7 linked regions of the Xenopus tropicalis genome follow. The protein of the gene in region 1 interacts with the protein of each later gene in a biochemical or structural test. Links are inferred from orthologs where the notes say so. Each region holds a gene or a part of one and is shown in the gene's direction. Other genes may lie near its edges. The genes, in order: cops5, cul4a, cul3, smad4.1, cul2, mif and chuk.

What was found.
Region 2: of the proteins of cops5 (region 1) and cul4a, one has a biochemical effect on the other in vitro, tested with the Homo sapiens proteins (5 studies listed by BioGRID, with this or other methods). The link is inferred for Xenopus tropicalis from reciprocal best matches to the Homo sapiens genes COPS5 and CUL4A.
Region 3: of the proteins of cops5 (region 1) and cul3, one has a biochemical effect on the other in vitro, tested with the Homo sapiens proteins (2 studies listed by BioGRID). The link is inferred for Xenopus tropicalis from reciprocal best matches to the Homo sapiens genes COPS5 and CUL3.
Region 4: the proteins of cops5 (region 1) and smad4.1 form a complex in vitro, tested with the Homo sapiens proteins (2 studies listed by BioGRID). The link is inferred for Xenopus tropicalis from reciprocal best matches to the Homo sapiens genes COPS5 and SMAD4.
Region 5: of the proteins of cops5 (region 1) and cul2, one has a biochemical effect on the other in vitro, tested with the Homo sapiens proteins (3 studies listed by BioGRID). The link is inferred for Xenopus tropicalis from reciprocal best matches to the Homo sapiens genes COPS5 and CUL2.
Region 6: the proteins of cops5 (region 1) and mif form a complex in vitro, tested with the Homo sapiens proteins (2 studies listed by BioGRID). The link is inferred for Xenopus tropicalis from reciprocal best matches to the Homo sapiens genes COPS5 and MIF.
Region 7: of the proteins of cops5 (region 1) and chuk, one has a biochemical effect on the other in vitro, tested with the Homo sapiens proteins (2 studies listed by BioGRID). The link is inferred for Xenopus tropicalis from reciprocal best matches to the Homo sapiens genes COPS5 and CHUK.

The regions. Positions count from the first base shown.
Region 1 is NC_030682.2:119,213,253-119,216,752, reverse strand, and holds part of cops5 (COP9 signalosome complex subunit 5), read left to right. Parts: intron 1-1,126; coding exon 1,127-1,255; intron 1,256-1,333; coding exon 1,334-1,399; intron 1,400-1,932; coding exon 1,933-2,018; intron 2,019-3,500. UniProt on the Homo sapiens protein: Probable protease subunit of the COP9 signalosome complex (CSN), a complex involved in various cellular and developmental processes.
Region 2 is NC_030678.2:116,032,484-116,036,733, reverse strand, and holds the start of cul4a (cullin-4A), read left to right. Parts: upstream 1-1,450; 5' UTR 1,451-1,469; intron 1,470-1,504; exon of another isoform or gene 1,505-1,600; intron 1,601-1,627; exon of another isoform or gene 1,628-1,735; intron 1,736-4,250. UniProt on the Homo sapiens protein: Core component of multiple cullin-RING-based E3 ubiquitin-protein ligase complexes which mediate the ubiquitination of target proteins. As a scaffold protein may contribute to catalysis through positioning of the substrate and the ubiquitin-conjugating enzyme.
Region 3 is NC_030681.2:123,779,709-123,784,005, forward strand, and holds the start of cul3 (cullin-3), read left to right. Parts: upstream 1-1,497; 5' UTR 1,498-1,681; coding exon 1,682-1,747; intron 1,748-4,297. UniProt on the Homo sapiens protein: Core component of multiple cullin-RING-based BCR (BTB-CUL3-RBX1) E3 ubiquitin-protein ligase complexes which mediate the ubiquitination and subsequent proteasomal degradation of target proteins.
Region 4 is NC_030677.2:205,056,866-205,060,812, forward strand, and holds the start of smad4.1 (mothers against decapentaplegic homolog 4), read left to right. Parts: upstream 1-1,147; 5' UTR 1,148-1,310; intron 1,311-3,947. UniProt on the Homo sapiens protein: In muscle physiology, plays a central role in the balance between atrophy and hypertrophy. When recruited by MSTN, promotes atrophy response via phosphorylated SMAD2/4.
Region 5 is NC_030682.2:21,665,161-21,668,660, forward strand, and holds part of cul2 (cullin-2), read left to right. Parts: intron 1-397; coding exon 398-508; intron 509-1,522; coding exon 1,523-1,685; intron 1,686-2,457; coding exon 2,458-2,582; intron 2,583-3,432; coding exon 3,433-3,500.
Region 6 is NC_030677.2:153,040,493-153,044,754, reverse strand, and holds the start of mif (macrophage migration inhibitory factor), read left to right. Parts: upstream 1-1,462; 5' UTR 1,463-1,474; coding exon 1,475-1,582; intron 1,583-3,152; coding exon 3,153-3,325; intron 3,326-4,262.
Region 7 is NC_030683.2:110,575,717-110,579,216, reverse strand, and holds part of chuk (inhibitor of nuclear factor kappa-B kinase subunit alpha), read left to right. Parts: intron 1-630; coding exon 631-760; intron 761-1,043; coding exon 1,044-1,238; intron 1,239-2,584; coding exon 2,585-2,687; intron 2,688-3,500.

The DNA.
Region 1 (3,500 bases):
GCCCTCTAGTAGGGAATATCTGTGCCTTTAAAGATGCCCCGCATTCAAACAATTTCTACCCAGGTGCACGGAAAAAAACATAGAATATATTATATATATATATTCTATATATGTATTTTTCAATATATAATTGATTGTTTGCAATAGATCCGGTGTTGCTGGTCTTTTTTTCAATATCTAAACTCTTTTACCGTGCACCTGGGACAAGGATTGAAGCGGTGTGCCACCCTTGGTTCGATATATATATATAATATAATGATAATATAATTATAATGAGCATACCACTGGCCATAAACTCCCAATGGGAGTTTATGGCCAGTGGTATGCTCATTATAATTCTCCTTATGGTGTTTGATATTGTTTTCTCCTTGGTACAGGGTTTCTTTTCTTTTAATTTTGACACATGACTGGAATGACTTGTGCCATTGGGTGTGGGTTTGTGCTTTTATCTATTTATAGCTTTGATGGTTGTTACATGTTTAAGGTCTTGACAAAGGCCCAAGATGGGGGCCGAAACGTTGACCTATTTCTCCATGTATTAAGTTTTATATAGTTTAATAAAAGCTAACTTTTAAAGGATTCCCAGTGTGCACCGCTATACCTGTGGACTCTATTGAAATTGCTTGAATCGGTAGCACCTGGGTCAATTAGCCACTTGCTAAGGAGTGCTGAACCCTCTTGGTTTGTGTGTATATATATATATATATATAATATATATATATATATATATATATATATAGTGTATTATAAATTGTGTTAAAGGAACAGTAATACCAACAAATTACATTTTTTTAACTAATTAAAATATAATGTACGGCTGCCTTCATTTGTAAAAACTGTGTATTTGCTTGCTGTGTGATCATGGGGGCAGCCATTCAAGCTGTAAAAGTAAAAAATTGCAGGCTATATAGCAGATAAACTCTGTAGAATGCAATCGGTTTAGCTCTTACTCAAAAAGATAAACGGACAAATGCCTTCACAACTTGTAAATATTTAAGTCCTATATCAACAAATACTTTACAAACTTTAAAAGTAAAAAAAAATAAAAAGATGTTTTAATTTTTTGGTGTTACCTGAAATAAAATGACAGAATTTGGCAGCCAATCCTTGTTTTTTTTCTTCACAGGTTGGAAGACTTGAAAATGCAATAGGCTGGTACCACAGTCACCCTGGCTATGGCTGTTGGCTTTCTGGCATAGATGTCAGCACCCAGATGCTTAATCAGCAGTTTCAAGAACCCTTTGTTGCAGTAGTGGTGAGTACAGTATTACTATAACGTCATTGCAGATTATTGATACAACAAGTTTTTTTATTCCAATTTTCATTTCTTCAGATTGATCCAACAAGAACAATATCTGCTGGCAAAGTTAATCTTGGTGCATTCAGAACATATCCAAAGGTGAATGTTAATGATATTTAAGTTTCATATTACTTTTAATTGTAATTTAATCATTACTTGGCATATAACAAGGGTAAGATTATTATGGCTTACATCTACTTGCTTTTAGCCAAATATGAGACAGATCACACAAACAATGAAAATATGCACTGTTCCACTCCAGGCTAACCTCACTGCTGGATATATAGTCCATGTAGCAAACACTCAATTCAGTACATTCATAGGGTCCTTCACCTTGTTTTACATGTCTTTCTAAAACTTTATGGCAAATGAACATACTCCCTTCCCTGGTTTAATGACACCAGTACATTTTGGCATAAAAGATACAAAATCAATACTTGTCACTATATGAAAGTAGCTACAAAATCATGACACTTCCTTTTTTGGTTGTGCCATATATTTGTCCTGGTGAGCTACAACTCACTCAAACACATATTTACTTAACATTTAGCTGATGTGAAAAATAAACAGGAAAAAGTAAAGTAAATCAACTCCTTGTTTTGCAATTCTGATGGATGACCTTCTTGTTGTAGGGCTATAAACCTCCAGATGAGGGTCCGTCAGAGTACCAGACGATTCCTTTGAACAAAATAGAAGATTTTGGGGTGCATTGTAAGCAGTAAGTAATTTTGTAGTGGAAACATAAGAAACTAATATATTAAAAAGGAATTACAAGGCTAAGAAAAAGACTCTTAAAAAAGAGTCCTAAGCTTCATAGTATGGCTTATAGGCAGGGCACAGAGCAATTTTATGGTATATCCAGTTCAATTACAGGCTGTGAATCTTTGCATGAGTATATATATTAATGTATGCTTTACAGTATCTTAGATTTTATTTCACTCTCCTTATAGCTGCCAAACATGCATTAGTATCTTAGATGTATGTAACATTATTGGTATTGCACCTAAAAACTGTGTTAATTTTTAATTCCTCTCCTGTGACCCTAGATTTAAATGTCTTTAGTTAAGCTCGTCATTTTTTTATTGGAAGGTAGCTATGATCTAACATTTGTCTTGTGTTGGGTACCTTCCTAAATGTTACTCCACCTGGGGCAGTTTAAAAACATTCCATCCATTGGCCTCTGCTTGCTTCTCCCTTTGTACTCATATGCACTGTGTTAGCTGGGTACAGATGCACAGAGTGGATTTTAAAATGCATACTCGCATTTTTGCACTGAAATCTGCTCTGTGTGTCTGCACCTAGGCTACAAAAGTGCCTGTCAATGCAGACAGAGGGGTGAGCAGAGACCAGCAGAGCATCTGTTTGTAGGCCTGTGTTTATACGCAGGCCAGGAAACAGCTCCGTGTTGCACTAGCCATATTATAGATTGTCATACAATTTTCCTAAACCACAAGGAATACTGTCATAGGAAAACATGGTTTTTTTTTTCAAAATGCATCAGTTAATAGAGCTTCTTCAGGAGAATCCTGAATTGATATCCGTTTTCAAATGCACAAACAGATTTTTATTTATATTTAATTTTGAAATTTCACTTGGGACTAGCCATATTCTTCATTTCCCAGCCAGACACAGCCATGTGACCTGTGCGCTGATAAACTTCAGTCACACTTTGCTGCTGCGCTGCAAGTTGGAGTGATATCACCCTCCCCAGCAGCCAGTCAGCAGAACAATGGGAAGGGAGCAAGATAGCAGCTCTCAGTAGGTATCAGAATAGCACTCAATAGTAATAAATCCAGCTTGGATTGGGATGGGAGTAGGAGAAACAATAGGTTACCTGAAAGCAGTTCTAATGTGTAGTGCTGGCTCCTTTTGAAAGCTCAGACTCGGGCACAATGCACTGAGATGGTGCCTACACACCAATATTACAACTAAGAAAATAAAATAAATTTGTTGGTTCAAGAATAGAATTTTAAATGGTTGAGTGAATTATTTGTAAACAGTGTAATTTAGAAATAAAAAGTATACCATAAAAATCATGAAAGTATACCTTTAAGAATATGATTTCTGTTTGCTTGGACATACCAATCTTTTGAAAAAGATTCTTAAACAACTTCTAGGTCCTTGCTTGAACTATAAGTAAACTCCAGGTTCATATCTGGTTTATATAATTAAGTTTATAAACAGCTCATTGCTTACTGTA
Region 2 (4,250 bases), on another chromosome or scaffold:
AAATCCAGTCTTGTAGGATAAGCATCATCTTCCAACAATTATTTATTTTATTTTTTTTAACTGGGTTAACATTTACACTGTTTCCAGTTAATACAGACACACTGTAGTTTGACAAAAGGGTGTTCAATCAGAATATTACAACTACAATGAGTTAAAAGTGACAGCATCAAACACTGAGAAAAAATTCTATACTACTGTTTAAAAAGGGTAGTTTGCCTTAGAAACCGTTTTTCCATTAATTTGTTTTCACGCACATCGTCAACAATTAGATTGTTTAACTTTTTGTAAGATTTAAAGGGGTGGTTAACCTTTAAGGTAACTTTTAGTATGTTATTGAATGGCCAATTCTAAGCAACCTTTCAATTTGTCTTCAATATTTATAGGTTTTTTTTTAATTATTTGCGGTTTTCTTCTAACCTTTTGTAGCTTTCAGAAAACTATTGCCCTGTGAGATTACAATTTTGTTATTATTACTGAATAGGTCCTCTCCTATTCATATACCAGCCTCTCATTCAAACCACTCCCTGGTTGCTAAGGTAATTTGGACTCTAGAAACCAGATAGCTGCTAAAACCAAACTCAATTCAAAACTGAACCACCCCTTTAATTTTAAATGTAAATCTTTTTATATAGTATTTTACTGTAGTGCCTCAAAATCAAGATGCAGGCTCTCTACAGTGTTACAATTTGCTACATTTGTTGCTTCATTTCTAAGAAGACTAAGAAGAATAAGATGGAATGTATCAACTGTTAAAAAGGTTGCATAAATACTATATGCATTGCCATGAGCAAAATGTGTCGGCAATGAATTTTAATGTAATGAATGCCAGCACTCTAGGATTAGGGAGAGAATTGGGGAAGAGTCCAGACTAAGACCATAGTAGTAACTTTTTTTTGTGAAATTGGAATTTTCTGTAGAGTGGTAGTCCTAATACAAACTCAAAAGTTTAAACCAGAAGTGAGTGTAAAGAATAGAAAGGAGTAGCAAATACATATTTCGATAACAATTATTTAAAAAAACTTTTTTTTCAATTTAAATGTATTGGAAAGTTGTGTAGGATTACATTTTCTCACATTACACAAAATGACAGTTTTGGACTGGTCATCCCCTTTGCAGAACTTCATCCTTACTGTGAAGACTACTGTCCTAAAGCCTAAAGCATTAAACACTGACCAAGAAACACGTGAGTTTCCATTCAAGCGCGCAATACAACCTGCCCAGAGATGGTGTCATGTACTTACCCTGAAAATAAAAGCAAAACATTCATATCTTAACAACAAATTAAGTAAGAAAATTGCATTTCGCTTTCCTACACAATTGTGCTCCTGCAAAGACAAAATTACTCTCGCTTAACTCCCCCGGAAACCGGCTATTGTGCCCCCTGACCCGGAAGTGACTGTACATATTATCAGCGGCTAATGCCGGTGATAGTTCCAGCCGCTATATGGAACGCCATTTTAATTACACAGGTAACCTCATAAATGTATGTTAACATTTCACTCACTCTGTGGCATATCTCTCAATTTCCATTCTGACAGCAGCTTTCTCAGGTTGTTTCATAGTGGGCGGGTCCTTGATGTAAACCGCAGCTAGACACGCCCCTTCGTGACATCATGTTCTCTTTTCCACTTCTTGGTCACGTGGCTGTGACATCACATTTGCACTCAATATGTTTTTTTTAAGACTTCGGGATCACCTTTAAACTGCTCCTTTTCCGGAAGTCGAGCGTTTGTTTGTAAGTCATTGCTGCAAAGAAAATCAGCGGCAGCTAAAGAGTCCTGGGGGATATGTTGTGTAACATTACTAGCTGCTATTTTGATTGTAATTGTGGGTGATTGGGCCGGCCTTGCCCCCCTCCCTGCTACATCTATGGGCCCCAGGCGGCTGCCCCAGCCGTCTCTATGTGTTTATTTGTGTTTAACAACTCTGTAAGCGCTAGCATTCGTAGTTGCAGGACCTTGGTGCCTTTAATGGCCGCTGACCTCTGAAATTTAACAGTTTCTGAAAAGCCTCACATTGTTGATCACTTGTGCAGCAGTACTTGGCTTTGGCGTTGAGGGCTAGGTGATCACCTAAAGAAGGAAGTCATGGGATCTGTCCAACCTGAGGCACCTCTGCTCGTTTTAATGGGGATATCCTCATATAAATTGTTTTTTTCCCTAATAATGCCATGTAAAATATACTTTCCAGTTTACATTAACATTTCAAGTTGTTTTAAATGTATGTGCTATTTAATGCAATATCTGTGTGTCTCTTTCTGTTGGCTGATATTGACTCCTGAGCCAGTGTAGCAGGTCAGTTTTCTAAGTCTATTAAAAGACATGTCAACCCAAAATAAATGTTGCCTAATAAAATAAAACATAATTCTAAGCAACCTTGTAATATGCATTCATAACAAATTTGTAATGGTTTTTAAGTTATTTGTAGATATTATTGCTATTGTCCTTTTCTATTCACTGCCCAGGTGGCTGTGGCTTTTGAAACAATATAACATAATCCAGCAGATAGACAGACCTGTCTTGCTGAAGGAGACTGGCTTTTCAGCATTGTTTTTAAAAGGCATAGCCACCAGTTAAGCAAATTCTGCCTTCAGTTGTACTTACAAATAACTTTTAAAGCACCAAAAACATTTTAATAAATTCATATTGGTTGCTTAGAACTATGTTTTTTTTTATTAGCTTTAATCCGCTGGTTTCTGCTAGATAGTTTCAGCAGAAGTGCCATGGTTGATGGGCACAGAGTAGTGACAGGCAGACCAGTGCACCAAAACAGTTAAGAGCAGAAGCGCCTATATCTGCTATGTGTATGTTAAACAGGGTGCTTGAGATTAAGAGCAGTGACAGGTGGAGATGGGTATTTTGACTGTGACTGTTCTCCTTCAGAGAGTAACAGTGGCGAAAATGCCCTATGTCCTATTACTTTCTCCTGAGTCTTCTGGCAGGCTGCAAGGTCTGTCACCGTTTTATGTACATTCAGAATGGAGCCATACACGTAGCAATTCTAAACTTTCCTGCGACCATCGGTCGTTTCGTTGATCCACCATACATGCATCGAATGAGGTTTCGTACAATATCATCTGTGTGTGTATGGCCAGCTTTACATTCAGTTCTGCCAGGAGGGGATGGACCATTGGACTGCAGCTATTCTGAGGGCACCAATGATCAAACACCTCTGTGCCATTAGTCTTAAAGGACATGGAAAGGCAAAGTCACTTAGGGGTGCCAAAATGTTAGGCACCTCCAAGTGACTTTAATCGCCTACCTTTTACCCCGGTCTGGTGCCCCTGTTGGGAGAGAATAGCACCAGCCCGGGGTAGCTGCATCGCTTCCTCCTTCCTGATCGCTTGCGCGCACATGCACAGAAGAGTGAAAAAGCTGAACTTTAACAAAGAAGTCGACTTTTCACTCTACCGCGCATGCGCCTACCGCATAGTCGCAGCTAAAAGTAGCAGGAAGGAGGAAGCGCATCACTCCACGTACCCCGGGCTGATGCTGTTTTCTCCTAACAGGGGCACCAGCCCGGGGTACAAGGTAAGCGATTAAAGTCACTTGGGGGTGTCTAACATTTTGGCACCCCCAAGTGACTTTGTCTTTCCTTGTCCTTTAATGTTGAACAGCAGCAGGGGAGCAGCACATAGCACATCCTTTAACTGTGATGGTGGTCTTTAATATCTCCTGTAATTATAGATACTTCTCAAGGGACAGTGGATATAGTTAATAACAAGCATCAGGTCTTTGAACCAATAAACACACTTTAGGGGCAGATTTATCAAAATGTGAAATTAGAAGTTTACCACAGAAAAATTCACCCACTTTCCATTCATTACTTTTGGGATTTTTAGAAGCGTATTTATCAAATAATGTACTTTTCCCATTGATAAATACACTTATTAGTGTTGTTGAAAAAACCTGCAGAGTGCTGTGAACTAAGCATTACTGGCACTCAGGCATTGAAATCATTTTTAAGGCTGTGCTCCTCTTTTTCCATTACATAGAGATTAGATGTAGATTTGGAGCTTTTTGTAGGCTTCCTTATAGTAATGTAGTTATTACCTTTTGTTTTTGTACAGCTGTGAAAAGGGACACATTAAGTGGAGTGGATGGGAGGACAGGCATATTGGAGCAGTAAAGTGTGTTGGCATGAAGATCAGCATCTTTATTATAGTTCTGTGACACATGGGGAGATTAGTCGCCGTGCGACATATCTTCCTTGTCGTGGGTGACTAATCTAAAAAAATGTAAATTGTAACT
Region 3 (4,297 bases), on another chromosome or scaffold:
TCAATTTACTGTTTGGAGTGCAACGCAGGAAATGCCAGAAAAGAGTTGATTAAACTCTCACCTCAATGACTTCAGTCATTTACACAGGAGAAAGGTGTGCTAAATATCTTATGCCCCCCAAGCCTTTAAAGAGACATTTCCATTGTATACAGTTCCACAACCAGCAGGCAGTTCTTCATGGTCTAACAGCTTCCCTGTTTTAGTTACAAGTCTATTAAAAGAGGCAAATAAACATTAAACCCACATCTCACTCTTACTTGCCTTCAGGCTTGGCTTCCAAACACCATAACAAGGTTATATAACAGAAATGTACAAGCATTGGGTTAATAATCACCCTGCTAAAGCTCCAGATCAATTAAACACTCACCCCGGATTTTACTCTCTGGTCTTTAGGCTGCCCCCCTTAGCTTAATAACAAGGTCCCACAAAAACTGGATGGCCTTAATTATTTTCATGATGGTGCACTATAGTGACAAATTATTATATTATGAGTATTATTATATTAAAGGAACAGTAACACCAAAAAAATTAAAAGTTTTTTAACATAAATATAATGTACTGTTGCCCTGCAGTTGTAAAACTGGTGTTTGCTACAGTAACACTACTATAGTTTATATAAATAAGCTGCTGTGTAACCACGGGGGCAGACGTTCAAGCTGATAAAAGAAAGAAAACGCACCGGTTACATAGCAGATAAGCTGTGTAGAATATAATGGGGGTTTATCTGTTATCTGCTAAGTAACCTGTGCCTTTTCTGCTTTGAATGGCTGCCCCCATGGCTACACAGCTGCATTCCTTATATAAACTATAGCAGTGTTTCTGGGGCAAACACACCAGTTGTACCAGTGCAGGGCAACAGTACATTATATTGGAAATGCTTTTATACAATGTTTTGGAATTTCTGTTTCTTGGGAGAGTGGGCATCTTAACATGAGTCTAGCCAAACTAACGTTAATTAAGTCAAAATCAATCTATTTCTTTAATATTGCATGTTTACTTGAAGCTACTTAGTAACCCTATCCATACACCTACGGTAGGTGTGACAAATTCGTTGTATGGCTAGGGTTCCCGGGTTCCAGACGGTACACATTAGTGTCTATATACGCATTACCACCTAAAGAAGCATAAGTGACGACAGGCGTTTTGTATATATACGGAACGCGTCAGCCTCCACGTACGAACTGCGCTCAGAGCGTCACATGACGTCACTTGTCAACGTTCCACGGATTACGTCGCTGTCGCCGGAGCCTGCGCAGCAATGTATGCGCGATGTAATAAAGTTTATTGAGACGAGGTAGGGCTGCGGCTTAGTGACAGCGCTCCGACCGGGGGTGGGAGGAAATGAATGGAAGGGGCGGGGCTGGGTATGGAAGGGCGGGGCTTGTTTGAACTCTCGCGACACACACCCCATTCCCAGGCTCCTCCCCTCGCCGGCCTTGCTGGGAAAGGGATGTTTGTCCGCCATCGCGGAGGAGTTTAGTCAGCGCTGGGTGTTAGGGCGTTCGTATAGTTTTAGACCCCCCTGCAGCCCCGGGGGCCGCATTGAAGGGAGACCAGACTGCCGTAAAGGAGCTCCCGCCGGGTCGCTGACAGGCCGGGCCCGGGGCCTCCTCACACCTACACCCGCCGGGGGGAGACAAGGAGGGGCCCCGGGGCCGAGTGTGAGCGAACAGCCGCCAACATGTCGAACCTAGGGAAAAGCACCGGCAGCCGGAAGGATACCAAGATGAGGATCCGAGCCTTCCCGGTGAGACTCATAGGATACTTGTGGGCAAATCCCCGGGGGCCACATATGGATGGCAGTGTAAATACAGGAGGCGGGCTATAAGTGTCACTAGCTGTGACATCCAACCTATCATCCTGTAGCTCCTCTTCTACCGGATATCCCAGCATCCTCTCCGAGCCAAGTGCAGAGCTGCTAGTGTTTGTGCACAGGTAGCACTGCATTGTAAACATTGGCTGCAATGTGCTTCCAATAAAGGCTCTGTGAGCTGTATGTATGGCATGGAAAGCCCATTGCCTCTGTACAGCTGTGCTAGCTGTGACTGGATCATTTCATCTAGCTGCCTGACATCTGTATGGCCATGAGTATGGGATGCCCAAATTCACACATTATTTATACTAAACTACTACTCCCAGTATCATCTGACAGCGAGCCCCATTGCAGTTTACCATATAGATGTGTATCATGAGCCCCCACTTAAATAAACTAGACAGGGATACCCAAGTAGCCATCCTATAGCCAATACATGGAGCATATCAATGCCAGCTGGAGTTGTGCTTCAGCAGGTGGGCTGCATTAGTTGCCCTGACCTGTACAAATGCATGAGGCCGCTTGCCAAAAGATATATAGACTTGAGTTAATAAAAAGCAGTTCCACCCCAAAACATATTAATAAATGAAGAAGTCATTGTTAGAAACTTGCCATTAGGGTGAAGACACATGGAGCAACTTAGTAGCAGCTACTAGTCATGGCTAATACATGTAAATGTAAATGATCAGCATTGTCTGTTTCTGTAGCCATGACAAGTGGCTGCTACTAGTAGGTCTGTGTGTCTTCACCCTTATAGTTTTCTGTTGTTTATAAGGGTGAAGACACATGGAGCTAATAGCTGTTACTTGTCACGGCTACAACAATAGACAATGCTGATTATTTACCGATACATGTCTCTACGTGTGGTTTAGCAGAGGCAATTCTCAGTATTGTCTATGGCAGAGTATTTTCTGGCATTTACTAGCCATGACAAGTAGCTGCTACTTAGTAACTCATTGTGTTTTCACCCTAAGCTTTTTTTAATCTTGGTTAAAAGTAGTATTTGTTAAGTCCTTTGTGTAGCCTAGTTCTGACTCTTGAACAATGTAGCAGAAGTCTGTTTTCCAGGTCTTTTAATCAACTACTTTCTGTTGAATTATTTCAGGTGTCCAGCAGAGGAAAGAATATAAACTGAAATAGAAAATACTTTACAAACGCAGAAAAAAATTTAATATTGGAAAGTTGCCTCAAAATATAGTTATACAAAAAGCTGTTTGTTTTTTTTTTGGGCATATTTCCACTTTAATAATGTGTACTTAGTTCAGGACTTATGCAGTATATAAACAAGTATTGTACATCCCAGGTAACAGCATATTACAAGTTAGTCATTTATTTCCCTGTTATGTTCTTCTTAAAACCAAAAATTGCTTGGATGAATATGTATATTCTAAGCATGTAAAATATATATGCATTATCCCAGCAGATCATCCACTGTTCTCTGACAGTGTTTCCACAGCTCCTTGTAGCTGCACTGATGGGCAGTGTAGCTACGGAGTGTAAATCAGACTGAGAAATGCAAAAGCCTACATTTTCAGGCTGTTCTTTGCTTGGTGTAGCTGCACTTGGTGGATACACTGGCTGTCACCATAACATTAGCAGTCAGTAAATAGACATTCAGGTTAGAAGATTTGTATGGAATGCAGTAGTGATTTCCTGCCATTTGTTGTTGGTCACTGATCTATGGTTTCGCCAAAGAGAGTGGAGTATTATCCAGTCTGGTGAATATCCCTACACATAAAGATATGCACAGTTATGTATAATGCCGCTTTACAGTCATTCTAATCAGAAGCCAAAACAATGCTGATGGTGGGAAACTGCAGTCCATGCATTTGGCACCTATTGCCTCACTCGCTGTGGACCCTTTACCTGGATAGTCAGGCAGTGAACTCCTTGGGGCATTTTTGTAATGGCCTTCCCAGCCCAATCTGTCCCTCAGATGTCACCTGGGGACACAGGTATAAAGGCATAACATTCTGAGTACATGCTTCCAGTGTTAACTTGGTGTGCAGAGACCTGAGAGTTTATATTGATTTCAGATTTGGAGCTGCTCTTATAGCAGCAAGGTTGTAAATTGGTTGTTAGATGAAGGAAAGGTATTTAATCCTGATCTGCTCATGAAGATATGGGAATGCCAGTGCACACTAAACTAGGCAGTGCACCTGTATGCATGCTTAAAAGAACATTGTACTGGCAGTTCTACAATTAGTGATTCATACACACAGTTGGCAGGCAGTCTCACTGAGCTAAGCAAGCAAGAGAGTTTCCATTCTAAATCTATATCTTGGTGAAGCCAGCCAATTACCTGTTGCCTGAACGTTCATTTACTGTTTATTTAAATGTTTATTTAACATTTAAATTATTTTTGGTATGACTTTGTAGCAGACCAAAGGTATGGTGATCCAAATTATGGAAGAACCTTATCCAGGAAACTCCAGATTCTGTGCAGGTTATATCTTGGTGAAGCCAACAAATTGCATTCTTCCT
Region 4 (3,947 bases), on another chromosome or scaffold:
GTGCCATGTACAGGGGCTATATTCTCTGCAGTCAGGGGGCCCATATAGGTGCCATGTACAGGGGCTATATTCTCTGCAGTCAGGGGCCCATATAGGTGCCATGTACAGGGGCTATATTCTCTGCAGTCAGGGGCCCATATAGGTGCCATGTACAGGGGCTATATTCTCTGCAGTCAGGGGGCCATATAGGTGCCATGTACAGGGGCTATATTCTCTGCAGTCAGGGGGCCCATATAGGTGCCATGTACAGGGGCTATATTCTCTGCAGTCAGGGGCCCATATAGGTGCCATGTACAGGGGCTATATTCTCTGCAGTCAGGGGGCCATATAGGTGCCATGTACAGGGGCTATATTCTCTGCAGTCAGGGGGCCCATATAGGTGCCATGTACAGGGGCTATATTCTCTGCAGTCAGGGGCCCATATAGGTGCCATGTACAGGGGCTATATTCTCTGCAATCAGGGGGCCATATAGGTGCCATGTACAGGGGCTTTATTCTCTGCAGTCAGGGGCCCATATAGGTGCCATGTACAGGGGCTATATTCTCTGCAGTCAGGGGCCCATATAGGTGCCATGTACAGGGGCTATATTCTCTGCAGTCAGGGGCCCATATAGGTGCCATGTACAGGGGCTATATTCTCTGCAGTCAGGGGGCCATATAGGTGCCATGTACAGGGGCTATATTCTCTGCAGTCAGGGGCCCCATATAGGTACCATGTACATAGAAGCTTTTTGTTTTTTTAAGGGCCCCATTTTACAGGGTTCATCACCTTTGGGGCCCAGGTGACTGGAGGGTTAATACTTGAAGCCGCATGATTACTTTTGACGGCCCTGGCTGCTGGTTTAGGATTGGCTGCTGCTGTACTGGCACTGTGAGACTAAAGCAAAGGGTTAATAATATAAATAAAAGGCAGAGGCTTTCCCAAAATCAAGCAGCAGGCCTGGGAGCGTAACCAGCCCCGTTAGCAGAAGCAATCCAGTAAGCAGGGCTTCTTCCAGAATGCAGCACTACTGCGCTAGTAAGGCCCCGCCCACAGACTGGCAATTCCGCCCTGTTCTAATACAGCCACGCCTCTTTCCCTAACTAGCCTTTTCCTTTCTCCACGCTTCCCCGCCTCCTCCTTCCCGCTCCATGCCGGCCCCGCCCACCCCCTGCTCAGTGGCCCGGATGTAGGCTGGATCGCTGCTGCTGTTGCTGCTGGTACGCAGGCGCGGCCCGTATCTGGGGGTTCTTGTTGTCCGCGGCCTGGGCCGCTGTGGAGCGGGCGGGGGGTGCCGGAAGAAACGGAGCTTTTCTTCACTTCGAATTCGGTAAGGAAATAGGCGGGAAGGAAGGGGTTGCTCCGGGCCTGGGCTGGGAGTGTAGTTCCCAGGCCGCCCGGGGATTAGCTGCCTTGCCGCTCATGGAGAGGGAGGGGACGGGCTGAGGCTCCGGGGCACAAACACTGGAGGCGGTGAGGCGCTTGCCTATCTTACGGGCGCCTTTAAAGCTCCTCTTTTCCCATAGGGGCCTATGGGAGTTACGGTTTGTCAGCTCTTACACATATCCTGTGCGGCTATTGTTGTTGCAGGGGATGATGGGAGTTGTAGTTCAGTAAAGACAGAGAAGCCCAAACCCTTATAGTGGTTTCCTAATTCACCTCTTAGAGGTTGGGGATTTGATTGATTGTAAGCTCCCTGGCTGAGGCTGATATGTACAGGAGGGTTTATTGACCCCTAATGGTTCCCAATAACCATGGGGTTATTTTATTGCTACTAGGGATGGGCAGTGGCAGGTAGGGATGGTCAAACCGCCTCTCCTAATGCTTTCCAATGGGTAGAACAGGAGACACAGGGAGAATATACAAATATATATATATAATGCCCTGACTGGGATCGAACCTACAACCCCAACACTTACCCCAGTGATTACTGGACAATACTGCTGTAGGACTCGGTAGCTGGGGCACAGAGAGAGGTTATAGGAATATCTGAGCCTAGCTCCCCCCGCCCATAAACCAGGCCACTGTGGGCTGAAAGGGACTGGCAGGTTTAGGTTTACTTCCCCTTTAAAGAGAATAGTAAGCCTCTAGGAAACATTGCTTCCTTTCAACGCTCTTATGGCATAGGGCTGCTGCCTAGCAACTAGTCATATGTTCCAATGTTAGACTGGATTGTAACTAGGAGTAGTTTTATTTGGCGGATGAGGCCTCTTGCAACAATGTAGCAGAAGTTGATTTCCTCCAGATCTATCTGCTGGCTTCTTCTACATTATTGTTATTAAAGATTATCATAAGGGATAATGTACCCCCTACTGTAAATGATAAGGATATTAGCAGTCACTGAGGGGTTATGTGCCCATATAAAGGCACAAGGCTGCAGGCTGAGTTATACAGGGAACTCTGAGTATCACTCATGTATTATAAGGGATAATGTACCCCCTACTGTAAATGATAAGGATATTAGCAGTCACTGAGGGGTTCTGTGCCCATATAAAGGCACAAGGCTGCAGGCTGAGTTATACAGGGAACTCTGAGTATCACTCATGTATTATAAGGGATAATGTACCCCCTACTGTAAATGATAAGGATATTAGCAGTCACTGAGGGGTTCTGTGCCCATATAAAGGCACAAGGCTGCAGGCTGAGTTATACAGGGAACTCTGAGTATCACTCATGTATTATAAGGGATAATGTACCCCCTACTGTAAATGATAAGGATATGAGCAGTCACTGAGGGGCTCTGTGCCCATATAAAGGCACAAGGCTGCAGGCTGAGTTATACAGGGAACTCTGAGTATCACTCATGTATTATAAGGGATAATGTACCCCCTACTGTAAATGATAAGGATATTAGAAGTCACTGAGGGGTTCTGTGCCCATATACATCGAGCCAAATGCAAAAAAAGACATATAGTGTCACTGTGTCGGTGAACACCAAACCATTGTCAGTTGGCAGATCGATGGGGATGTTGGGCTCACAGGTGGTGCGGCTGCATTGTGCAACCATAAAGCAGAGCAGCTGGGGGTTAAGCCGTGCAGGCACCTTAATGTCTCTGCGCATGAAGCGATGTGATTGGTGGTTCTGATTCCGTACACAATGTTCCTTTGCTGAAATTCATGATCCAGTTCCCCCCCCTTCTGTGAAACATTATATCTGATGCACGGATTAAGCGCCGGGGCTCAAGCTGCTTCTTTTAACAGTCGTTGAGGAGACACCATCAAGGCATATTATTAAATACAGCCTCATTCTTAGCATGCCAGCCGGCGGGCCGCTATCCCATCTACCATCATTGGATTATACACAAGCACTATACTGGGCTGGCAGATTGCTCTGAGCCTCCGTGCTGTACTGATATTAGTACCGGTGTATGCAAGATATCTCCGCCTGGTGTCTGCAATTCTTCTCTATTATTCATACTCTATGCCCTAGGGGGGTTACACAGTTCTGTATCCTTCTACCAGAACAGATCTGTGCATTTAAGTGACAAGCACATATCAGTGTAAAGCTGGGAATTAGGGATGCACCGAATCCATTTGGCTGAATAACGAACAGATTGCTAATTAGGTTACGGAAGGGTTACATCTTCATTAGCAAATGCTTATTAGGGTACGGAAGGGTTACATTTTCAACTTCCGTGTTTACGTGACAAAAAGTCACGTGATTTTTTGAATTTGGTTCGTCCAGGAGCATGGATTCGGCCGAAAGCAAATCCCGAACTGAATCCTGGATTCGGTGCAGCCCTACTGGGAATACACGTAGAATCTGTAATGGTCTGAACATTTTGGCTCCCAGTCCAACAACCAAACCATAATAGGGGCCCAACAGGATTCTGTAATGTGGTGGCCAAACTGGATCCAGATATCAGTCAGACAGGCCAGCAGGAGGGCTCCATATATTGGCTAATATGGGGCTGACTTGATCTGGAGGGACTAAAGGTGGCCATACACAGTAAGATCTGCTCACTTG
Region 5 (3,500 bases), about 98 Mb from region 1:
TAAACAGATGGGGAATTGGCAATTGTAGTTTTAAGATTGGTCTGACAATACATATAGGATCTTTTAAACAATACCACAATGATACCACACAGTGCTTTTATTGTGGGCGGATGAATCATGCAGTGGTTGTGCATGTGACTGGGTGAAAGTGAAGCTTTGGTATTGCCTGTGTAACTGTGTGGCTGTATGTGTGTAAGTGGAACTATATCTGGTGCCTCCACAATGATGCAATGTTGCTTGTGCTTGTATAAGTGAATGATATTTTCTGTGTGCCTAATGGGGCAGCTACATTTTGCTCTTGCCTGTGTAGATGTGTGCAATTGTGGCCATAAAGACGCTGCTTACACCGCCTATTGAAAACATTCTTGCGTTATCAACATACTGTGCTTTATTACAGTTTTATCAAGAAATATTTGAGTTGCCTTTTCTGGCTGAAACAGGGGAGTATTATAAACAAGAAGCTTCAAATTTATTACAAGAGTCAAACTGCTCACAATATATGGAAAAGGTAAAGAAAAGTAACAGCCTATGTATTTTTATTGTGGATTTATTAAAATGTATATTATGCTTTCTGTACAATTTATAGGAATTAGTAAGGTTTACCTTACAACTCTGGAACAAAACCATAACAGTAATGGGAGTTAAAACCAATGTAATATTTGGTCAGAGTATTCTTTTGCTCAGAAAACCATAGCAGCCAACCAGATGTTTATTATTATTCAAGCCACAGTATGAATGTAAAAGTTAATTGCTGTTTTGTTGTTATAATTTAATGGAGTGGGGCAAAATTAAAAAAATAATATACTGTTTACATGCACTGGCAAAAGTTGTATGCTTGTCTTAGAAGCACTACTATAGCTTATAATATAATAAAGCTGTGTAGCCATGTGGGCATCCATTCAAGTTGAAATAGGGCTAAATGGCCCTTTTATATTTTGCTGTTACAGGTATAGGACCTGTTATCCAGAATGCTCAGAACTTGGGATATCTTTATATGATTTGGACCTCTATATTTTAAGTCTGCTAAAAATTAGTTTAAACATTAAATAAATTCAATAGGATTGTTTTGCCCCCAATAAAGATTAATTATATCTTAGTTGGGATCAAGTACAGAGAAAAAGGAATTCAGTTTTAAAATTTTGAATTATTTAATTAAGATGGAATCTATAGGAGATGGCTTTTTCCGTAATTTGTACTAATTTGTAATGCATCCCATACCTGTACTGGTCCTTTAAGTACATTGGGCAGCCTTTTTTTTTGTGTGTAAAGGGGAAATTATGGAATATTTAAACTTCTATTAAGTGGAGTGGGAAAACTATAGGGGTTGGTCTTGATCCCAGGGGCAGCAAGTACAAGAGCGATATCAGTTTACAGGTGTCATTGTCCCATTATAACAGCTTTTTCTAAGGAGACTCAGATTAAGTTGCAGAACCCAAACATGAATTTTAAAGCAATCACGTACCTTGTTTTTAATACGTTTTTAAAGATTTCTTGCACATTATTATTTATTATTTACGTGCAGATTTTAGGTAGATTAAAAGATGAAGAGATTCGATGTCGAAAGTATTTACACCCCAGTTCATATAATAAAGTGATTCATGAATGCCAGCAGAGAATGGTGGCAGACCACTTGCAGTTTCTACACGCAGAATGTCACAATATCATCAGACAAGAAAGGAGAAGCGGTAAGCACTGAGCAGTTATTTTTTCTTTTGTTTTAGGTGAAACCATTTTCAGTTTCTCAGCCTTTTAGCCATCATCATAATATATGCTTTGGTTGAGAACTGTATTATCAAAGTGGCTTATTATGATGTTGCTAAGCTTAGGTCAGAAATGGAAAGTCTTTTATTCAGCAGGGGTAGTGTTGATAAGCTAATACTTCTCTTTTAAAGAACAGTAACTCCAAAAAAATTGTGTTTTAAAGTGATTATAATTAACTTTTGCCTTGCACTGGTATTTTTGCTTTAGAAACACTAATATAGTTTTTTTTATAAATAATCTCTGTAGCAATGAGGGAGGCTATTCAAAGGAAACAAAAGGCTCAGATTACATAGCAGATAAGTTCTGTAGAATATAATGGTGTTCTACAGGGCTCATCTTTTATCCGCTATTTAAATCTGTGCCATTTAACGCTATTTAATTTTTAGGTCCCTGTATCAAACAGCTGGGGTGCCCTAGTCCTAACGGGAAATTTTAAAATTTCCTGTAATTCTTTCAAACTTACCTTATTGTATTTACTTTACTCCTTGTGTCCTGCAGCCTCCTTGAATGGCAAGATATATTGTGCTCTATATTGAATGTTGAAAAGTGGGCTTTAATTTAAGGGGATTATAAATATTTTAGTATTTTAGTGTAACAATGCCACAGAGTAAAATTAGTTTAAAAAACTGTTTAAATGTTAACTCGTGATTGTTACAGTTATCACTTTGTGTCACATTATTTTCTGTGGCATTGCAGATATGGCCAACATGTACACTCTTCTCCGTGCTGTATCCAATGGTTTACCTCATATGATTCAGGAACTCCAAAACCATATCCACGATGAAGGCCTTAGAGCTATTAGTAATCTTTCTCAGGAAAACGTGAGTAACCATGAAGCCCTTGATAGCCGCATAAATACTAAATGAGCAGTAGGGATAAAATATGAAGGAGCAGAGCCACGGGCTATAGCCTGCACCAATTGTTTGCTGCTACTTGTACAGGCAGGCATAACGCCCTGTGTGCCATAGACCATAGATGCAGAGCTCCCTGAAAGAGGGAAAAGGAAGGAAACGAGGAAATTACTTCCCTGCCTGACATCTTTAAATCTGCCACACTCATCATTGGATCAGACAGTTGAAAGATATGAACATGTGGCCAAATTCCCCAAATTATCATTTTAAAAACTAATGCGAAACAAAGAGTTAATCTGGCCATATTATACCATAGTCCAAATAAAAAAAAAAGGGTTTGGATTTTAAAGGAATATATCTGTTTATGTACTTTATCTTTAAGTAGCAATAAGAATGAAAATGCCCAAGTACACAAAAGGCCAGCACCACAGAGTGCCACATGCTTCCTGACAAAGAAACTTAAAGAAAATGGCTAATTCATACCGATGAAACATGAAATGAAATGAATTATGGGGAAGTTTTATTTAATCTTTTACATGCCAGCTGGGTTTTATTTATTACATGGTATATTATTAAGACTATTTCCCATTAGAATGTGATTGCTCCAAACTGTGCACAATGAATGTTCCCTCTTTTTCAAATGGCCTTGGGTCAGTATGTCACTAAGTACAGGGAACACTAGCCAGTGCTAATCTCAGATCATTTGTAGTTGCCATTCATGAATTTTTGTATTTTTATAATTCATTTAAATGTTTTAAGTTTTTTTTTTCTTGTAGTTCTCTTTGTGTTTTTTTATAAATGTTCCCTTTTTATCTTTCAGATGCCAACTCAATTTGTGGAGTCAGTCTTAGAAGTTCACAGTAAATTTGTTCAGCTTGTCAACTCTGT
Region 6 (4,262 bases), on another chromosome or scaffold:
CGGAGGAAGCGCTCGCTGCTACCCCAGGCTGGTGCTGTTTTCTCCATACAGGGGCTTACAAGGTAAGCGATCTAAGTCACTTGGGGGTGCCTAACATTTTGGCACCCCCAAGTGACTTAGCCTTTCCTTCTTCTTTAAAGAGAATGACACATGGGGAACGGGGTAAAAGCTCTGGGACTTGTACTCAAAAGTCAGGAGAGAATGGAATATACAGAGAAAGGGAATGGCACTTAGACTGGCACACAGGAGTAAGGAGGAGAAAAAAGATCTGATTGTGCTTTAAATGGCACTAAGAGGATATAGAGGGATTGGCACATTAGATTTGGGAGTATGGAATAGACAACAGTAGCATAAAGAAAGCTGCTTAGTTACATAAAACTTCCTAGTTAGTTAGGCTGAATTAACATGGAACTCATTCCATGGTACAAATGGTTCCAGGGCAGCTGCCAGTTAAGCCTCACATGGGGAAAATCCTTTCTGATGCCAAAATACAGGCCCAGACTGGCAACCTGTGGATTGTGGCAGTTGCCGGAGGGGCTACTGTAAGATGCCATAGACAGTTACTATTAAGTGGGCTGGTGGGGGCTGTTTGGGCATGTGTCTTAAAAAATGTCAGGGCCTATTTTGAATCCCAGTCCAGGCCTGGTTGTAAGACCCCCTTACTGTAAAAAGACCCCCAGAAAAACCACATATTTTTGGAAAGGACACATTTAGATCAATTTCAAATAGCCAATAATAGTCTTTCTACAAATATGTGTGTGTATATATATATATATATATATATATATATATGTGTGTGTATATGTGTGACATGATGCCCCAAGTGAAAATAGAACATATGAATTTTCTCATGTAAGAAACATGCTCCTACATTAATCCCAGGACTATTCTGAAAAAGAATAAAATGTGAGTTGCAAGGATTGGAGGGATGAAGTTTAAACTTCCCCTCCAGCCCATCCAATTCCCATGCAGCTTTACCGGGGCTTAACATCAGTGCCCAACAAGCACAGGGAGGGATGTGTAGGGGAAAACGCCGGCACCACATCTCCCGCCCTCCCTTCTTAAGTCCCCAATCTATCCGAGGTGAGGGGGCCCCTACTACGATCCAAAAATCTCACCCCCCCCCAGTTATAGCAGCCTGTCTACACGTAACTATGGAATTGAATGACAGCGCTGCCAGAAAGGGCTCGTTAGTCCCGTAAGATCCTGTGCGTGCGTACCAAGCTGCAGAGAGGCGCAATGCCCGACTATGCAGGCGGCATAACTAAACACTTGTACCAACACCTCACCAGAACAAATGCAGGAAATGTGAGTGACAAACCAAGCGTCTACCTCACTGCTTTAAGGTGCCGTTAGAAGCACGCCGATTGGTTGACCTGGAAAAGGGCGGGACTGGTACCCCACGTGTTCCGTCCCTTGTCAGTGTTCGATCCGTTCTCCATCTTTGCGTCTTCCTTCAGTTAGCTGCTTCATCATGCCTACGTTCACCGTCTGCACTAACGTCTGCCGGGACTCCATGCCCGATACCCTGCTGTCCGATCTCACCAAACTGCTGGCCAAGGCTACGGGCAAACCAGCTGAGGTGCATGGGGAGGGAGTGGGTGCGGCGAGTCATTCCACCGCTAAAACACGGGGGGAGATGATGTCCAATGATCGGGCCTCAAGCTTTAGCTGAACTACAATGTGCACATTCATGGAGGATACTGTGATTTGTGGTCCAAGCAGATAGAATATCAGTGTATTTTATAATAAAAAGTAGTCAGTGCACTGTTTAGGTTTACAGGGTACAGGTGGCGCTTCCTCCTCCCCATGAGTCGGGCCAAACCACCATTAATTAAAGGGGGCACCAAGAACATGTACTGGTTATATGCACAAGGAATGAACCTATAAAATGTGCTTTTGAACTAAGCTGTCACCTTAAGAAATAATGTAAAATTCTTTAATATCATGTTAGTTCAGAGAAAAAACTTTACTTACACTACATAAATAATTCAGATATTGTTTCCTTTAGTCTTGGAATTCACAGTAAGCAGGCTGGTGCCATTTTGTGGACACTGTTATTAAAGAGGTGATTCACTTTTAAGTAAAATGTTAGTATGTTATAGAATAGCCAATTCTAAGCAACGTTTTAATTGGTCTTACCACTACTACTTTTCAAAATATTAATGTATGTAAAAAGTTCCCTATAGGTCAAGTTGATCATTTTTCACCGACAGGTTTGCTTTTGTAAGTAATTGTTACATAAACTTCCTAAACCTGACTGTTTTGCCAACCTGACTGCCCCTTCTCAGCCTGTCAGTTATAGCTTCTAATGCTAATGTGCTACTGCTGCACAAATATGGCAGCCCCCTTATACAGGAACATGGGGGATCTGATAGGGAATGTAACAGCATTGGGCAAATAGGTTTAAGGTAAATTTATAAAGCTCATGCAAAGACAATGTTAATAGTAATTGTTGTGCCTGAGGCATGAGGGGGGGGAGGGGGGCTGGCATTATATGATTGACAGCTTGGATTTTTAAGGACATTAATAACAGGTATTTGGGTTTTATTTGTAGAGGAATGTTATTATACAGCTTATGTGTTAGTGACATGTCCCCTTTAACCCAAAACCCTAACTAGCACCAACCCGCTGTTAGCTGCTGTCCCACACTGCACAGGAGATCCTGTGACTTCAAGCACTTTGCACTGTTGGATGCTAACCAATCAGCAGCTAAGCAGACCCCACAGGGGACTGTGGTTTAACTTTATATATGTAAAGGCAGAGCTGTTATTGGCTTCCCCTATCCTATTGTGCTGCTGGGGAAGGACCATTATGACACACCCATCATTCGTTTGTAAGATAGGGAACTTAGGATGCTCCAATAAAGATATTTTTAAAGGCATTGATTCATTTTAGCCCAGATTGAAAGCAGTTGTAATGTTTTTTTTTTTTTTTTTTGTTATCACTGCATGCATAAATAGCTGTGTGTCCCCTTTAATACACCTGCTATCCCACAGGACCCTGTGACCCTCATGTTTCTCCTCTGCAAGTTGTTCATCCTAAAGCAGAGAACAAGATCCATGGCTTTGGGGATATAATGATGAAGTGCTTGCAATGGTGCTTTTTACCAGAATGCTATCATCATAGCTAACCTATTGTCTCCTCTGCAGTACATTGCAATTCATATTATGCCTGATCAGATGATGAGCTTTGGTGATTCGACTGATCCTTGTGCTGTGTGCAGCCTCAGCAGCATTGGAAAGATAGGGGGGCCACAGAACAAAAGCTACAGTAAGCTGCTCTGTGATTATCTGACAAAACAGATGAACATTCCTGCTAACAGGTAAGCACACTGACCACTAGCCATGTTGCCTCTTATTCAGGTCTATTATTCCTTGTTTGTTTTCCATGCACACCTTTTCTCCACTTTCTGAGAAATGCTAGAAAATGCCTCTGCTGCACACCATTCAATAAATTGGCAAGCATGTGACAGTGCTGGTACTGGTAAATCATATTCAGGTAATTGGAATGTATCCCCAAACGCTTCTGTAGCGGCAGATATACCATATACTGTATACCCTAGCTGCAAACAACAGGATCAGTATGAATTCTCTATTGAGAAACTCCCTTATGCCTAAAGCAAGTAGCTCTGCAACCAATCAGATATTTTTATTTTTGCAACTAGTCTATTAGAGCAAATTTTTTTATTTTTGTATATTTGGAATGCTCCTAGGCACAACCAGGCAGAAAAAATGAAATTAGTTAAGTCATGCAATTAGGTGCAGTGAAACCTGCATCCAAAATACATGAAAAATACTACCAGTAGTAATAGCACTTGGGGAAAAAAACTGGCCAAATATGGGCAAGAGCATTGAGTTGCCCAAGTGAGCACACATTCTCTGTTCTGCTCAGAGAATATCTAGAAAACACAAGCTGTTAATAGGTCCAGTAGATATGTTTAACCGTTTGTGTGCCATTTGCTGTTTGTTTTGCATTTAATGCATGTAACGAGTGGCAGTGCAATTAGAGTAAGCATTTAACCAAGCTCACTGGCAGAAGTTTCTGGCAGTTTTATGGCAATTGTAACAACACTTTGCTCGTGTTGCCATCAAATTCTTTTTGATGTAACGAAAACTCATTTTGGTACAGGGTAGTAAAAAAAAAAAAAAGCATCTAAAACTGGAGTTAAAGGGCATGCGAACCCAAAAATTAAATTTAACATAATTAAAAAATAATAAGCAGCTATCTAATATACATTCTTTTCAAATTTATTAGTGGTT
Region 7 (3,500 bases), on another chromosome or scaffold:
CCCAGTTTTACCAGTGCATGGCCACAGTACATTATATTTCCATTACTTTAAAACACTTTAATTTTTTGGTATTACTGTTCCTTTAAGACCATGGTTGCCTCCCTGGTTTATCACATATTTTGGTCTTGATCTTATGTCAGTGATGGTTCATCCTTGTGCATAGTTTTTTGCACTGTTTCTCCAATGTATATGCCTCCTGTACAGAGCTTAGTACATATAATCATGTACACCACATTGGAGGAAGCACAAAAATAATAATGGTGTAGACTTTTTGTGTATTTAGTATTGCACAGGATGTATTTGCAAGTTTCTCATTAGTTGCTGCTGCAGGAAAATGCTTAAGTTGTCCTTTAAGATGCAGAAAGGGTTTTGTGGAATTCTCTACCAGAGCTAATATGCTGGCAGATACATTCAGTAGTTTCAAAAAAGGGTTGGATGCCTTTTTAGAAAGTGATAATATACAAAGTTACTGAAATGTAAGTAAATTAAATTGTTTACTTGACATCAGGAAGAAATTGCCCCTGAGGCAAATTATAGAGGTTTTTTCATCTTCCTTTTGTTCATCTTGCAGTTAAGCAGGTTTCAGGTGGGCAAACGTGTTGAAGGGCTTGTCTTTTTTTCTCCCCTCAGCATAATTGTAGACAAGATAGAGACATGGTTGCAGCTTTTGTTAAACTGGGACCCTATACAACGGGGAGGAGGAATGGACTGCGGTCGTCCACAATGTTTTGTGCTAATGGACCAGATCCTCAACTTGAAGGTAAAAACAATATCAGAAGTTCTTTGAAAAATATGTGATTCATGCTTGTGTTGCTCATCAACACTTTTTACATTTGAGTGTGGCTCACAAGTAAAAAGGTTGGGGATCCTTGTGCTGTTGGATAATAACAAGAACGTAACTGTTGTTCTGTGACACTTGGAGGCCCACCTAGTTGAAACTGATATAAAAAAGGTTACCAAGGCCAATGGAGCAGCTCCTTTGTAGCATTAAATATGTTATTATTATAGTGTATATAACCCTATTTTTCCTTCCTGTTTCTTAGATAGTTCACATTTTGAATATGACATCTGCCAAGATTCATTCTTTTCACCTGCAACCTGAGGAGAGCCTACACACCCTGCAGTCTCGCATTGAGACAGAGACTGGCATTAGCACATGTAATCAAGAGTTACTTCTAGAGATGGGGGTATCCCTTGATCCAAGAAAACCAGCATCCCAATGTGTTATAGATGGAGTGGTAAGGTTTTTATGGAAGAATATCAGAATGACCAAATCAAACGCTAGGTTTTAAATTAAAGTTATAAATTAAACGCTTACCAGCCTGAGATCATATAATATGCAGCTCTGTCCATCAAGTGCCTGACTGCCAGTGCCACAGATTTTATGTTTTTTTTGTTTATTCTATGATCTGTGCTTCACATCAGAGCAAATGCATTACATCATATGCTTAAAATGTGAGGGAGGGGGGAAAAACAATTTAAGGCTTCTTCGGAAATGTTTCCAGGTTGGTTTTCTAAAGCCATCTATGTTTTTGATACAAATGATCAAAATAATGAAATATTTCTATTGGTCAGGACAGCAAGATTCCTTTAACCCTATCAGTACCAGTAGATTTTCACATTTTATTTGCACTTCTACGTCCCTCCACCCAGCTGCAAGAATGAACAAGAATGCTGCCAACCACAGATAGCGCTGTATTCATGGGGCCAAATCAAAAAACGGAGACCCTGAGCAAATATTCTTTATATAGGGCAGGTTGCAAAGTAAACAAAGTATGAGTGATTGTGTCAGTTTTTGCACCCTGCCTTGCACATAGTAAATAACCTTCATAGCACCCCCCCCCAATTAAAATATGTACATTTTTGGCTTTTTTTGTTTAGTCAAATAAAACACTGTGAAAGATATGAGTAGAGGCCACAAAATCATGTGAACAATCATGCCATTTCAGCTGTTGCAAAATAGCTTTAAAGCCACAGGTAAGGCCACAAAAAAGTTAATATTTCTCCCACGCGTCATATTATGCCAAGGTAAACATCCTGAATATGAATGTCAGGGGTCTTTGGACCAGTTTGATGACCAATATGCATAGAATTAAACAACTATTTCACATGTAGAGATGGCAAAAAGTAACATGTATATACAAATTTCAAGGCTTGTATTTTTAGCTATGCTAAACTTTGTGGTTTTTATGAAATTTCTAAAAATAACAATTAGGGAACAAACCCCATGGCTCTGGCCGGCCCTGATAAGGGAGGATCAGCCCATACCTGAAAAGCCAGGTGTTTGTGCACAGGGGGATTCTGGGTCCCACAAGTGATGGAAGGAGAGCCCAGAAATAATGTTTGCTAAGAGGGCCTAAAGAGGACTACTGCTATTTTTCTAGGGCTTTTTGCTTTTTTTTTCTTGGTTAATAAAATGTAAAATGTGTAAATGTGAAACATGCATTTTAAGAATTAGAGGAGAACCAAATAGTAGTTGTTGTACACTGGTAAGTAAATACAGTTCTTGCCCTAGCCTAGATGATTCAACTAATCATAAGTGTTTTATCTCAAACTATATAATCCCTTTTGTCTTTCCCTGCAGAAAGGATGGGATAGCTATATGGTTTATTTGTTTGATAAAAGCAAGACTGTTTATGAAGGACCATTTCAGTCAAGAAGCCTCTCGGAATGCCTTAATTACATAGGTAAGTACAGATATCGGCAGAGATGCTACATTTACACATAGACTGACATTCATGAAGGCCATCCACAGGAACAGAAATTTTGATTGAGTGTTTAGATACCGGGTAATCTTGTTACCTAAACAGTGTACAAGTTCCAGTGATGTGAAAAAATAAAAGGAATACAAATGTATATAACCCTTAAATGCCATGTTCTGTGGATATATGACACAGAATGTAGATTCTACGGCCTGCAGCACTTCCTGTTATCCCCCTGTTGCTCCCCAGCCCCGAGACATCAAGCTGTGGTGGGGAACAATTGGCCCCTGGGGTGTGATAAGGCTAGGGGCCTTAGATGACAGCAGACACATGGACACCACTTTACTGCTTTTGTCTTCATGGGGTAATTAACATTAGTGATTTTTATTATTTAACATCAATAAAAATGCTAATAAAATGTAGGCTAAATCATTAAGCCTTCTAATGTACAGAAGTGAAATTACACCATTCAGGCAGATGTAGAAAGATTAGGTTGCCCTGATGAAAAAAGCATATAGAGTTTTCCTAGGTAAAAACAAGCACTCTGCCTGGGTGTTTACTTTAGTAAAGGACATTATATTGCATTTCCTACCTGTGGTGGAAAGACAATCATTGCTAAAGTTATGTCTGATGTAGTTTAGCTCAAGAAATAAAAAACATTTTTCATGATTAAAACATTAGACAAAACATATCTGAGGCAAACCCTATTGATTGAAGTCATGTTGAACTCATGTTAGAAATAGTTTATAAATGTAAATTGGAAACTTACCTCTTTTTGAATTGAGATTTTCCATTTTA